Ovis aries: one gene and its partners. The protein of the gene in region 3 interacts with the protein of the main gene of each other region in a biochemical or structural test. Links are inferred from orthologs where the notes say so. Each region holds a gene or a part of one and is shown on either strand. Other genes may lie near its edges.

The links.
Region 1: the proteins of MAGI3 (region 3) and ADRB1 interact in a test that uses a peptide from one of them, tested with the Homo sapiens proteins (2 studies listed by IntAct, with this or other methods). The link is inferred for Ovis aries from reciprocal best matches to the Homo sapiens genes MAGI3 and ADRB1.
Region 2: the proteins of MAGI3 (region 3) and CRHR1 form a complex in vitro, tested with the Homo sapiens proteins (2 studies listed by BioGRID and IntAct, with this or other methods). The link is inferred for Ovis aries from reciprocal best matches to the Homo sapiens genes MAGI3 and CRHR1.

Annotation. Positions count from the first base shown.
Region 1 is NC_056075.1:34,061,209-34,065,596, reverse strand, and holds ADRB1 (beta-1 adrenergic receptor), read right to left. Parts: upstream 2,927-4,388; 5' UTR 2,812-2,926; coding exon 1,267-2,811; 3' UTR 178-1,266; downstream 1-177. UniProt on the Homo sapiens protein: Beta-adrenergic receptors mediate the catecholamine-induced activation of adenylate cyclase through the action of G proteins. This receptor binds epinephrine and norepinephrine with approximately equal affinity.
Region 2 is NC_056064.1:45,528,610-45,532,833, reverse strand, and holds the start of CRHR1 (corticotropin-releasing factor receptor 1), read right to left. Parts: upstream 2,879-4,224; 5' UTR 2,608-2,878; coding exon 2,575-2,607; intron 1-2,574.
Region 3 is NC_056054.1:90,959,800-90,963,425, reverse strand, and holds part of MAGI3 (membrane-associated guanylate kinase, WW and PDZ domain-containing protein 3), read right to left. Parts: intron 223-3,626; coding exon 30-222; intron 1-29.

The DNA of each region.
Region 1 (4,388 bases), on a different chromosome or scaffold from region 3:
TTACACACAAGTGCTAAATTTCACCAGCAGATTCACGTGTGCCCTTGGACATAAAAAAATAATAAAAAAAATCCTTAAGATAATTTTTTATAATATGGATACAGTACCATGATAAAAGAGTATAAAAAGGTATTTTCCAATAAATTGCTAGCTCAATAACATAACAGACAACAGAGATAGAATCTGAATTTTATTTTAGTTTTTAAGATCTGCCCCACCCCACTCCCATTAAAAAATATTTCATTTCTTTTTGTGCAAATAACATTTTCTGTGGACTTTACAGTTCCTAATACTGTGCAAAAAAAATGCCACTTTGAATCACGGCTTTTTTGTTTTGATTTTTTGTCTATACCACATGTGCAGTAATCTGAATTGTTTTCCTTTTTTCTTTTTCCTTTTTCTGTCCTGTCTTCAATGGACAGAGTCACATGTCACGAAGGCTCAGCGCCTGGTCCTTCCAACTAGTATTGATACATAAATAAGCTGTTTAATATAAACAAGTCTCTCTATCTGGCCGTGCAATGTGCACCGTGTGAGTGAGGTAGGAACCCCTCAGCCTGACCACCGAGGAGGCGTTCAGGGACAGCCCGCTTGCCCTCCGAAAGGGAAGCAAGGTGAGGCTTGTTCCAAGAAGAGCATAAAACTTCCTGAAACGCGATTTTTGCATCCATCCTTGCCCTCGGCTTTCAGAACAGGAGAAATAATTCCTCAGAAATTAAAATGGAATTTCTCTGAAAAGCAAAAGGAAACAACGTCCTGATAAAGTGTCATTCTCTCTCCTCTCTCTCTGGCTGACCGCTTCTGTTCCCAGGAATGGGATGGAAACTAAGTCGAGAGACTTTTACCTCCTAACGCTTCCCCCTTCCCTTCCCAGTCATCGCAGAAAGTGTTAAAAGCCACGTGGCGGGGGGGCGGGGGGAGGAGGGACTCTAAAGATGCATCACACGCACACACAGAAGGCTGGACCAGAAACAGGAAAAAGAACCCCAAGAACAATCAGTAAGCCACTCTTCCACCCCTCCCCAAACTTCTCCCACCTCTCCCCAAACTTTCCTTTCTGTGCGACGGTCCGTGGCTTTCCTATTTGCCCTTGGATGATGCAGACGAGGTTCGCAGGCTTCGAGTTCACCTGCTTTCGGTCTCGAGTAAACACAGACCTCTTTCCCGGGGAAGCGGTTCAGGGGCGCCCGGGTTCTCTTGCTCCTGGAGCGCACAGCCCGCGCCCGGACTGGGGAAGCCGGGGAAGGCGGGGAGGGGCGCCCGGCCCTACACCTTGGATTCCGAGGCGCAGCCCGGGCGGCTTGGCTCGTCCGGGCTCGAGTCGCTGTTCGCCGCCGCCCCGCCGTTGTAGCCAGCCCAGGGCTGCAGCAGGCGCACGGGCGGCGCGGCCCCGACGTCGTCTTCGTCGTCGTCGTCGTCGTCGTCCGAGGCGGCCCCGGGAGACGGCGACGGCCGGGCCACCGCCAGGCAGCCCGCGGCGCGCGGCGGGTCCCCGGCGGCCCCGTGGCTCCCGCAGGCGGCCCGGCGCGCGCAGCAGAGCAGGCGCTGGAAGGCCTTGCGGAAGTCGGGGCTGCGGCAGTAGATGATGGGGTTGAAGGCCGAGTTGGCGTAGCCCAGCCAGTTGAAGAAGACGAAGAGGCGGTCGGGCACCAGGTCGCGGTGGAAGGCCTTCACCACGTTGGCCAGGAAGAAGGGCAGCCAGCAGAGCGTGAACACGCCCATGATGATGCCCAGCGTCTTGAGGGCCTTCTGCTCGCGCAGGGCCACGAGGCGCGAGGGCCGCCGCTTGTTGGCGCGCCCGTTGGCCACCGCGGCGGCAGGGAGCGGCGGCCCGGGCGAGGGCGCGGGCGAGGGCAGCCGCGCGGGGCCGCTGAGGAAGCGGCGCTCGCAGCTGTCGATCTTCTTCACCTGCTTCTGGGCCTCGCGGAACACCCGCAGGTACACGAAGGCCATGATGCACAGGGGCACGTAGAAGGAGACGACGGAAGAGGTGATCGCGTAGCCCTCGTTGATGATGAAGTCGCAGCACTCGGGGTCGTTGTAGCACCGGCTCGCCTTGGCGTCCTTGTCCCGCCACCACTGCATGAAGATGGGCAGGAAGGACACCAGCGCCGAGATGGCCCACACGGTGCACACGAGGGCCCGCGCCCGCGCGCGGGTCAGCAGGCTCTGGTAGCGGAAGGGCGACGTGATGGCGAGGTAGCGGTCCAGGGCGATGACACACAGGGTCTCGATGCTGGCCGTCACGCACAGCACGTCCACCGAGGTCCAGAGCTCGCAGAAGAAGGAGCCATACTCCCAGCGGCCCCACACCACGATTGTGGCTCCAAACGGCACTACCAGCAGACCCATGACCAGGTCTGCGCTGGCCAGCGACATGATGAAGAGGTTGGTGAGCGTCTGCAGCCGCGGAGTCTTGGCGATGGCCACGATCACCAGCACGTTGCCCGCCACGATGAGCAGCACAATGAATGCCATCAGCAGGCCCATGCCGACCGTCCACTGCTGCGACAGCAGCGGGGGTCCCTCGCTGGCCGAGGTCAGCAGCGAGGCGGGCGGCGACGCGGGAACTAGCAGCCGCGCCGCCGTGGCCGCGCCGTCGGGGACCGGCGCGGCCGATGACAGGTTGCAGGGCTCGGAGGCGCCCAGGGCGAGCGCCCCCGCGCCCATGCCGAGCTGCGGAGGCCGGGGGAGAGGGGTGTGGCGGAGTTGGGCCGCGGTTGGGGAACCCCCCCAGAGGCCCGAACGGCGGGGCGCGCGGAGGGAGGTCGCGGCCAGGTCAGCGCAGCCGCGGCGCGGGGCCGGAGGCATGGGCGCCGGGCGCCTTCCCCGCCGGAGCCGTGCGCTGTCGCCGCCGCCGCCGCCGCCGCTGCTGCTGGAGCCGCTGTCGCTGCTGGAACAGCTGCCGGGACCTCAGCATGTTTCTGAGCTCGCGGAGCCCGCAGCCCCGGCACCCAGCACCCACCCCACCCGGCTCCCACTCCCCCGAGCCAACCCCCGGGGCCTCGCGTCAGGCTCCTGCAGCCAATCCTGGCGAAGGCACGCCCCTCTCTGGTTCCCCCCCACCCCCACCCGGCCCCGCCAACTCCTAGCACCCCGCCTCCACCGGCGGTTCTGCGGCTCTAGGGAGTCCGGGGCAGATCGCCAAGCAAGCCCCTCCCCAGCGCTCGCGGGTTCCTGCCCGCGCGTCCCTTCCAGAGCCCGCTTGGCTCCAGTGCCCAGTTCCCCTCGGTTCCCAGTCGCGCCCGGCTTCCACCCTGCCCCCTCCCGCGGCCCCCAATCTCCCCTCTCCTGCGCCCTGTTTGCCTCCGGCGTTTGCTTTCCGCTGCGCCCCGGCTCTACCCGCCGCCACCCATCCCATCTACCTCCAGTGCCCAGGTTTCCTGCAGAGCAGAGCTCACGCGCCCTTTAGCAGGAAGGGGACTTCGGTGTTCTCGAAACACCGGAGCGCCTTGGACGGTCTGTTCGCTGGGGGTGGAGGAGTCTGGCTGCAAGACTGTTTCTTGTATTGGGCAGCCTAGGAGGGTGTGTGTAAAGCCCTTCCTCTGTCAAGAGGAGTCCCAGCCAGCTCGCGTCCTGCCAGCTCGGGGATCGGATCGGAGGCGGGTGTGAGCGGTTAGAAGAAACTTTCCAGCGAGCGCCTTGCTAAAGCAGAGCGCGCATCTGTCAGGAACGCTCCCCGGGAGCTATTCTTGCAAGAAGCTTCTGTCGTTCCAGGGCAGCAGATGCAGAAAGCAAAGGAAGGTTTGTGCAGCTGACAGCTAATGCTGAGGACCAGTTGGAAAAATACACACTCCCAGGTCCCAGCTGATGGATGTGTGAGTATGGTGCAACGGTGTGTGCCGGTAATGTAAAGAGAGAGAGAGGCTTAAGGACAGGCATGTTAGAGTAAATGACACCGCCACGGAAGCTAGAACACGTTTAATTACTTTTCAGACTTTTCATGTTCAGTAATAACACCTGGATTTTGTGTTCTGTTACTCACGTGATTGTATGACTTGAGCTGGGTCAGTGCAAACAAAAAAGGTACATTGGCTTTGGGTGACACAGTAGTGAACTGAGATTTCAAATTTCTTGGTCTGCTGCGTTGCCTTCTCCTTTGCCCAAGTTCCCAGATTCTCAAAACTCTAGGATTAATTTTGGAGGGATGAGAGAAGAAAACATATATAAATACTCAAAAAGATTAAAATCCAATAGCATGTAAAGTTATATCAAAGGCTGTTGGGTTGGCAACTGAATGGGTTTAAAATTAGTGAGTCATTAGCTCTGCAGTGGTGTGACTATATGTGGGGAGGTACCTACAGGAAGGTGGCCCATCAACACACAATGTAGCCAAAGGTGTGCAAGCCCCTTGTCTAATTCCACCACAGTACTGGTCCTCAACTCAG
Region 2 (4,224 bases), on a different chromosome or scaffold from region 3:
AGATTCATGCTCATCCTCTTTCCTTCACTGACATATACAAGGCCCCTCCCATGCACACACACATTCTCACTCACGCACACGTGCACACACTCTCCCCCAGTTCTCTGTAATCAGTTCAGTGTGATGCCCACAACAGGGGCCCCAGAGCGGATCCTTCCCACCTTTCCTGATACTGGCTGACTTGTTGAGGGTCAGAGCCACATATTGGATGAAACCCACCTAGATTCGGGTTTCCCTGGTGGCTCAGCGGTAAAGAATCTGCCTGCCAATGCAGGAGACGTGGGTTCGATCCCTGGGTCAGGAAGATCCCCTGGGGATGGAAGCGGCAACACACTCCAGTATTTCTTGCCTGGGAAATCCCATGGACAGAGGAGCTTGGCGGGGTACAGTCCACGGGGTTACAAGAGTCAGACACAACGTAGTGACTAAATCAGCACCCACCACCACTCACCTAGGTTCAGAAGTTCATACTGACAAAACTGCCTGAGTTATCTCCCATCTGGCAGAAGTCAAGGAGGTTTTAGCAGCTTCAAATATTTTCTGGTAAAAGCTAACAAAAGAAAGTCTTAGAGTTCAAGTGCCTGAGTTTGAATTCTGGCTCCACCATTCACTGGCTGCATGACCTTGAGCAAGTTACAGAGCCTCTCTGTGCTCAGGAATAATTTCACCTTCCCGGAGCTGTTAGGAGGACAGTATGACTTAATATTCGTAAAGCAGGTAGAATACTACCCAACAAGTTGTATATGCCATATAAATAAAAGAAGAAAGTAATTATTTAAATGAAACTGCATTAGCTGACCATTCATTCACTGCATCTTACTCATTCAGTGCCTTTACTGAGCACCTACTGAGCTCATTAGGCCAGACATAAAGGACACACATCCGACGACCTAGCAGGAAGCATACACACACACAAACACGCAACGACAACAATAAGAGAAATTTTTTTTCTTTTAGAAAAGCATAATTCTAAGCAGAAATCTGCACACGATTCAAACAAAGTCCAGAGAAAGAACATTTACCTATTACCATGTAAACTTAAAAACAAAAACCTACAGTTCAATCCTTCGAATCTGTTTGAAACGTTGAATTTTTTCTGTTTTGTAAATTTAGACCCAGGTTTGGTACACACTAGCCTTTGGGAAAATATTCCCATTCAGTGCCATCTATTCAAGCTCTCTGGATGTTTTTCCCCCAGCTTCCCTCCCTGGGTCTCCCTGATCACCCAAAATAAATTATGGGTTCACCCCTAATCCCAGTTAAGGCGTGGGGGAGGGGATATGGGTTTAATCAGACCAACCTTTACTCACTTTTAAAAAAACTAACATAACTATTCGGGAGAGGGACAAAGAGAATAGAGGAAACCTAGGTAATTAACAACGTCTCAATTGATGACCAGGCAGCAGTTGCATTTTTAAACCTTGGTGGTTTAACTCAAATCACTTTGTGTGCTACATACGTACAGCTGGTTTAATAACTGATGGAAAAATGGAAATCAGTCAATCCGCACCCCTCCCCCAAATCCATTCTTTTGAGTGTAATCGCTTTTTAAATGCGCTGAATCCCATCAAGCCGCTGTCTGCTCACGCTGTCCACTCTGACCCTGCGGAGTCGGGATCCTCAGGCGAGAGCCCGCCGAGGCCCACCCACCCCTCTCTCCGGCTGCTGCTTGCGCGCCTACCCCCGCAAGGCGAACCGCTTTGGGAATCGCCTGGCACCTGCAAGTGGCGGCTGTCACTAGCTGCAGGCCGGGGTGTCGACCCTCAAGACCTTCCCCGGGGCCCAGGGGGAGCCCTCGTCACCCCCGAACTTCAGTGGACAGACGTGAGATCTGTCCGGACGTGAGATCTGGAGACCTTCCTAAACTCCGGGCGCAGGAATCGCGTCGCCAGAACCCAGACAGGAGCGGGCAGGCACAGGAAACCGCGAGTGCAAAGGACCGGAGAGCGAGCGCTGCGATCCCGCCGGCGGGCCGGCGGCGGCGGCGACGGCGGCGGCGGAACGGTAACTACCGCCGGATGCTCGGTTGGCTCTCCGGAGATTGCGATATTGATCCAGGGCTCGCAGGCGCGGGGGACATTTATCTCCCCGGACTTTCAGGGGCAGGAAGGAGCTCCCAGGAACAGGGCGGGGGCGCGCTGGGGCAGATGGGGAACCCTCTGTCCCCTCCCGAGCTTCCTGTCCCGGGACCCCGGTCTACACGGGACGGGTGGGAAGAGGAACCCTGAGTCGGTTCCCAAAGCCTAGAGCGATTTCCCTCGCAGAGCTGGTTGCCGGGGTGGGCGGACCCCCCCGACTCCCACCCCCCAACACCAGCCAACATTCCCGAAGCTTCGCCACAATGATTTCTTTTTTCTTTTTTTTTTTCACCTGAGTTCTCCCCTTACCGCTCAACGCCGGCTCCAGAGGTCCAAGAAGAGGGAGCTGGCCTGCCCCTCACACCCCGGCCGCCCCCGGACCTGGGCACAGTTCTGCTCAGTGACACCCAATCACACCGTCCGCTTCACACCCACTGCCCACTGCGCCCGGAACTGGGGGCCCCCGGTGCTCGAGGGCGGACTGGCTCGCTCTTACCTTGACAAGCCGGAGCTGCGGGCGCCGTCCCATCCTCGGGCTCGCTCGGTCACCGCGCTGGAAGCCTGGGTCCCCGGGACATCCCGGCGGGGGCGGGCTCGGGCGGCTTCTGTGTCGCCGCCGGTGGCGGAGGTGCCCGGCTCCGCGCTCCCCGGCCCCGCAGCCCGGCCCGGAGGGCTCTCGCTCTCCTCTTCCCGGGCAAGTCCAGCCGCCGCTTCCGGACTCAGCCCGGCCCGCGGCCGCCTCTCGCCCGCCGGGAGCCAGCCTCGCCCCCGCCGTCTCCCCCTCGGTCCGCGCCGACACTCGCCGCGGCTCCCCGCCCCCTCGCCTGGGCGTCCCCTCCCCTCCTTTCCTCTGCCCTCCCCTCCGCTCCCGCCTCAGCGCCTCGCCCCTCCGCTCCCTCCCCCGGCCCGCCTCCTCCGCCCCGGCTCGTTCCGGGGGCGGCTCCCCGCGCCCTAACGGCGCTGACCCCCTTTCCTCGAGCCGGGTTTGCGGCAATCGGCGGGGCGCACTGGCAGCGCTGGCGGCCGCCGCAGCCCGGGGAGAAGCTGGGGAGGTGGGGGGGGGGGGGGGGAGAGGAGGCAGCTTCCCTCCTTCCGCCGGCTTTCAGGTTGGGGCCCGAGGAGTCCAGGAGAGTCTGAGGGGGTCCTGGGGGGGCCCAGGTCAATCTACAAGAGAGAAGCGATTGGAGGCTGGGGAATAGGGCAGCCCGGACTGAGCAGTGCCGCCGCGGAAGCCGGGTGAAGCTGGGCGCTGCGTTCGGGCAGTTCTCTCCCTGCCGCGGGGCGGGGAGAAAGTCCCCGCCGCCCCCACCTCAGCGGGGCGAGGGCCAGATCCCCGCGCCTTTGGCACTGACACGCCAGGAGCGCGCTGAGGTGTGACAGCTCTGAGGGAGGAACCCTTCTCATTCATTCATTCGTTTGTAAATTCATTCTACTAACTAAGCGCCTGCCCAGTTTGGTCCCGGCAAGGAGGTGAACCTAGGAACCCCAAGAGCAGGCGAGATGGCGGTGCCGGGCAGGACTAGCCGCCCTCTGACCGCGGAGGAGGGGGAAAGCCGAGCGCGCATTGCGCTGCAGGGGATAGCGGCTGGGAATCCAGTGGACTGGGCGAGGAGTAGGCCACAGCGCCCCCTCTCGGCCGAGCGCTCAGGGTAGGGTCAGCCGCCCCGCCAGACCTCCTGGCCCCCATCCACCTTGGCTCCCTAGCTCCCCATCCCGCCCCCAAGCATTGGGAAGCAGCTCCCGACTTCTCCAGCCCCTAAAGACTTTCCCCTCCAGCGGCTCTTCCAGATGGACAGAACTTTTGACTTCAATGTCTTCCTTCCTTCCACCAGAGCCGAAAGGCGAGTAAAAAAATGTAACTACCCCGCAGATCCTCCTCCTGCAGCGCCAGGAGCAACCCCTCACCAGGAACCCTGAGCACCCAGGGTGGACCACACTCCCAGAATGGTGGTCCGCTGACTTTGCAACCCAACTCAGAATCTAACCTCCCTGGAGATTCTGTGCACTGCCGCGCCCACCCGCCTCCTTCCTTCCACCCACTTCTCAGCACATTCATGGGTCCACTGCTTCTTCATTTAGACAGGGAGTTATTGTAAGATGCCTTGTGAGGAAGCTGAGGCGCATAGACCAGTGGTGGCCTGTCCAC
Region 3 (3,626 bases):
CAGAGCAAGAACAGGTTCACTTCACGTACCACCGTAGAAGATCTTCCTTCTGACAGTTAATAACACGTGGCCATTTCGAGCAGCGGCTGTCATTAGGTCTAGGACTTGTTTGTGTGATTTCCCTTTAACAGGGATTCCATCAATGCACATCAGCTCATCAGCTGCACGGAGCCGACCATCTTTCTCAGCTGCGCCCAGAGGAATGATGGCTCCAATGTATATCTGATAAGATATAAAGTGTGGGTTGCTCTATATGGTCTACTAAGACTTACTAAAATTCTTAACTACTAAGTCAAGGACTTTCTGACTCAAAACTCAAAACTATGCATACCAACAAATTTTTGCAGTTCAACCTGAAAACAGTCATAGAAATTGACCTGTCTCCAAAATGGCACTTCAAATAACCACACCATGTAATCTCTTCTGGATTCTTTGGGTTGGGCACAAGGAAGACAGGAAATACAAAGTAATTCAATAACTTAGAAAGTACCACTATCACTTCCATCACTACAACAGAATAAAAATATTAAACTCAGAAAATGCAATTCTGTGGAGTAGCTACTAAAAGTAAAGTCCATTGAATGTCATGGTGAAAGTTTTTTTTTTTTTTTTTTGTATATTGTTCATAGCAACTGGGATAATTCTTACAATACTCCTACTACATGAGGCTATCAGTTCAAGTTTAGTATACACAAAAGAGAAATATTTGTTGTTCCTAAATTCTAAAGCAGTATATATTTTAAGGGAACAGAGTGACCGAAGATTCACTTGCAACTAGGTGAACAAATCTTGCTCATTTTCTTTGCCGGCAATTAGAATCCTATAATTGGTAATCCTAAGTATTTGGATTAGGTCCAGAGCTGTTATAACCTGACATTTAAGAGAAGATAAAGTGTAAACATTTCCTCTAAGATCAGGAGCAAGACAAAAATGCCCACTCTCAATACTTTTATTCAACATACTTTTGGAAGTCCTAGCTATAGCAATCAGATGAGAAAAAGAAATAAAAGGAAGACAAATTGGTAAGAAAGAAGTAAAACTCACTGTTTGCAGATGATGTGACTATATGCGGAAAATCCTAAAGACATCACCAGAAAATTCCTAGAGTTCATCAATGATTTTGCTAAAGTTGCAGGATACAAAAAAATCTACAGAAATTTGTAGTATTTCTATATACTAAATTAAGGAAATAATCCTATTTACCACTGCATCAAAAAGAATAAAATACCTAGAAATAAACCTACTTAACAAGGTAAAAGACCTGTACTTGGAAAACTATAGTTCACTAATGAAAGAAATTAAAGATTACACAATCAGCTGGAAAGACATATCATGTTATTGCGCTGGAAGAATTAACATTGGTAAAATGACCATGTTACCCAAGGCAATCTACAGATTCAATGCAATCCCTATCAAACTGCCAAGGGATTTTTCACAGAACTAGAACAAAAAAAAATGTAAAATCTGTATGGAAACAGAAAAAAACACAAATAGCCAAAACAATCTTGAGAAAGAAGAAGAGAGCTAGAGGAATCGCTTTCTGTTTTTTTTTTTTTTTTGAGGAATCACTTTCTTGACTTCAGACTATAATACATAGCTACGGTAATCAAAACAATATGGTACTGGTACAAAAAGGAATATATAAATCAATGCAACAGAATAGAGAGCACAGAAATAAACCCACACACTTATGGTCAAGTAATCTATAACACAGGAGGCAAGAACATACAATGGAGAAAAGACAGCCGTTTCAATAAGTGGTGCTGGGACAACTGGATAGTTACATAAAAAGAATGAAGGTTAGAACATTCTCTAATACCATATACAAAAATAAATTCAAAATGGATTAAAGACCTAATTGTAGGACTAGATACTTTCTGACATGAATTGTAGCAACATATTTTTGGATCTGTCTCCTAGAATAATGACAATAAGGACAAAAATAAATGGGACATAAATAAACTTAAAAGCTTTTTTCATGGCAAATGAACCATAAACAAAATAAAGACAACTCTCAGAATGGGAGAAAATGTTTGGAAACAAAGCGACTGAAAAGGGTTTAATCTTCAAAATATATAAACAGCTCATGGAGCTTAATTAAATATATTCATATCAAAAAATGGGTAGAAGATCTAAATAGACATTTCTCCAAAGAAGACATACAGATGGCCAAGAGGCATATGAAAAGATGCTCAACATTACTTATTATCAGAGAGATGCAAATCAAAACTACAATGAGGTATCACCTCACACTGGTCCAGATGGCCATTATCAAGAAATCTACAAACAATAAATGCTGAAGAGGATGTGGAGAAAAGGGACCCCGCCCCTCACTGTTGGTGGAAATGCAAACTGGTACAGCCACTATGGAGAACAGTATGGAAAAGTTCCTTCAAAAATTAAAAACAGAGCTCTCATATGATCCAGCAATCCCACTCCTGGGCATAAACCTGAAAAAAAAACAAACCCCACAACTCAAAAAGACGCATGCACCCCGATGAATACTGTATCACTATTTACAACAGCCAGGACAAGGAAGCAACCTAAATGTCTGTCGACAGACAAATGCATAAAGAAGCTGTGGTAAATATATACACTGGAATATTACTCAGCCATAAAAAGTGAAACACTGCCATTTGCAGCAACATGAATGGCCCTGAAGACTGTCATCCTGAATGAAGTCAGTCAGACAGAGAAGGACTGATACCACATGACACTGCGTATGTGTGGAATGGAAAGAACATGGTACAAATGAACTTACTGACAAGACAGAAATGCGTGCATGTGTGTTCAGTCCTGTGATTGTATCTGACTCTTTGAAACCCCACAGACCATAGCCCACCAGGCTCCTCTGTCCACGGGATTTTCCTGGTAAGAATACTGGAGTGGGTTACCATGCCCTCCTCTAGAGGATCTTCCCGACCCAAGAACTGAACCTGTGTCTCCTGCACTGCAAGCGGATTCATTACTGCCAAGCCATCAGGGAAGCCAATGATACAGAAAATAAACATACTGTTACTGGGGGAAAGGGGAAGAGGATAAATTGAGAAATTGGGATTGACATATACACACTACTATCCACTCAACACTCTGTAGTGCCCAATATGGTAAAAGAACTTTAAAAAGAGTAGGTTTTAGAAAAGGCAGAGGAACCAGAGATCAAATTGCCAACATCCACTGGATCATGGAAAAAGCAAGAGAGTTCCAGAAAAACATCTATTTCTGCTTTATTGACTATGCCAAAGCCTTTGACTATGTGGATCACAATAAACTGTGGAAAATTCTGAAAGAGATGGGAATACCAGACCACCTGATCTGCCTCTCGAGAAACCTGTATGCAGGTCAGGAAGCAACAGTTAGAACTGGACATGGAACAACAGACTGGTTCCAAATAGGAAAAGGAGTACATCAAGGCTGTATATTGTCACCCTGCTTATTTAACTTATATGCAGAGTACATCAGGAGAAACGCTGGGCTGGAAGAAGCACAAGCTGGAATCAAGATTACCGGGAGAAATATCAATAACCTCAGATATGCAGATGACACCACCCTTATGGCAGAAAGTGAAGAGGAACTAAAACACCTCTTGATGAAAGTGAAAGAGGAGAGTGAAAATGTTGGCTTGA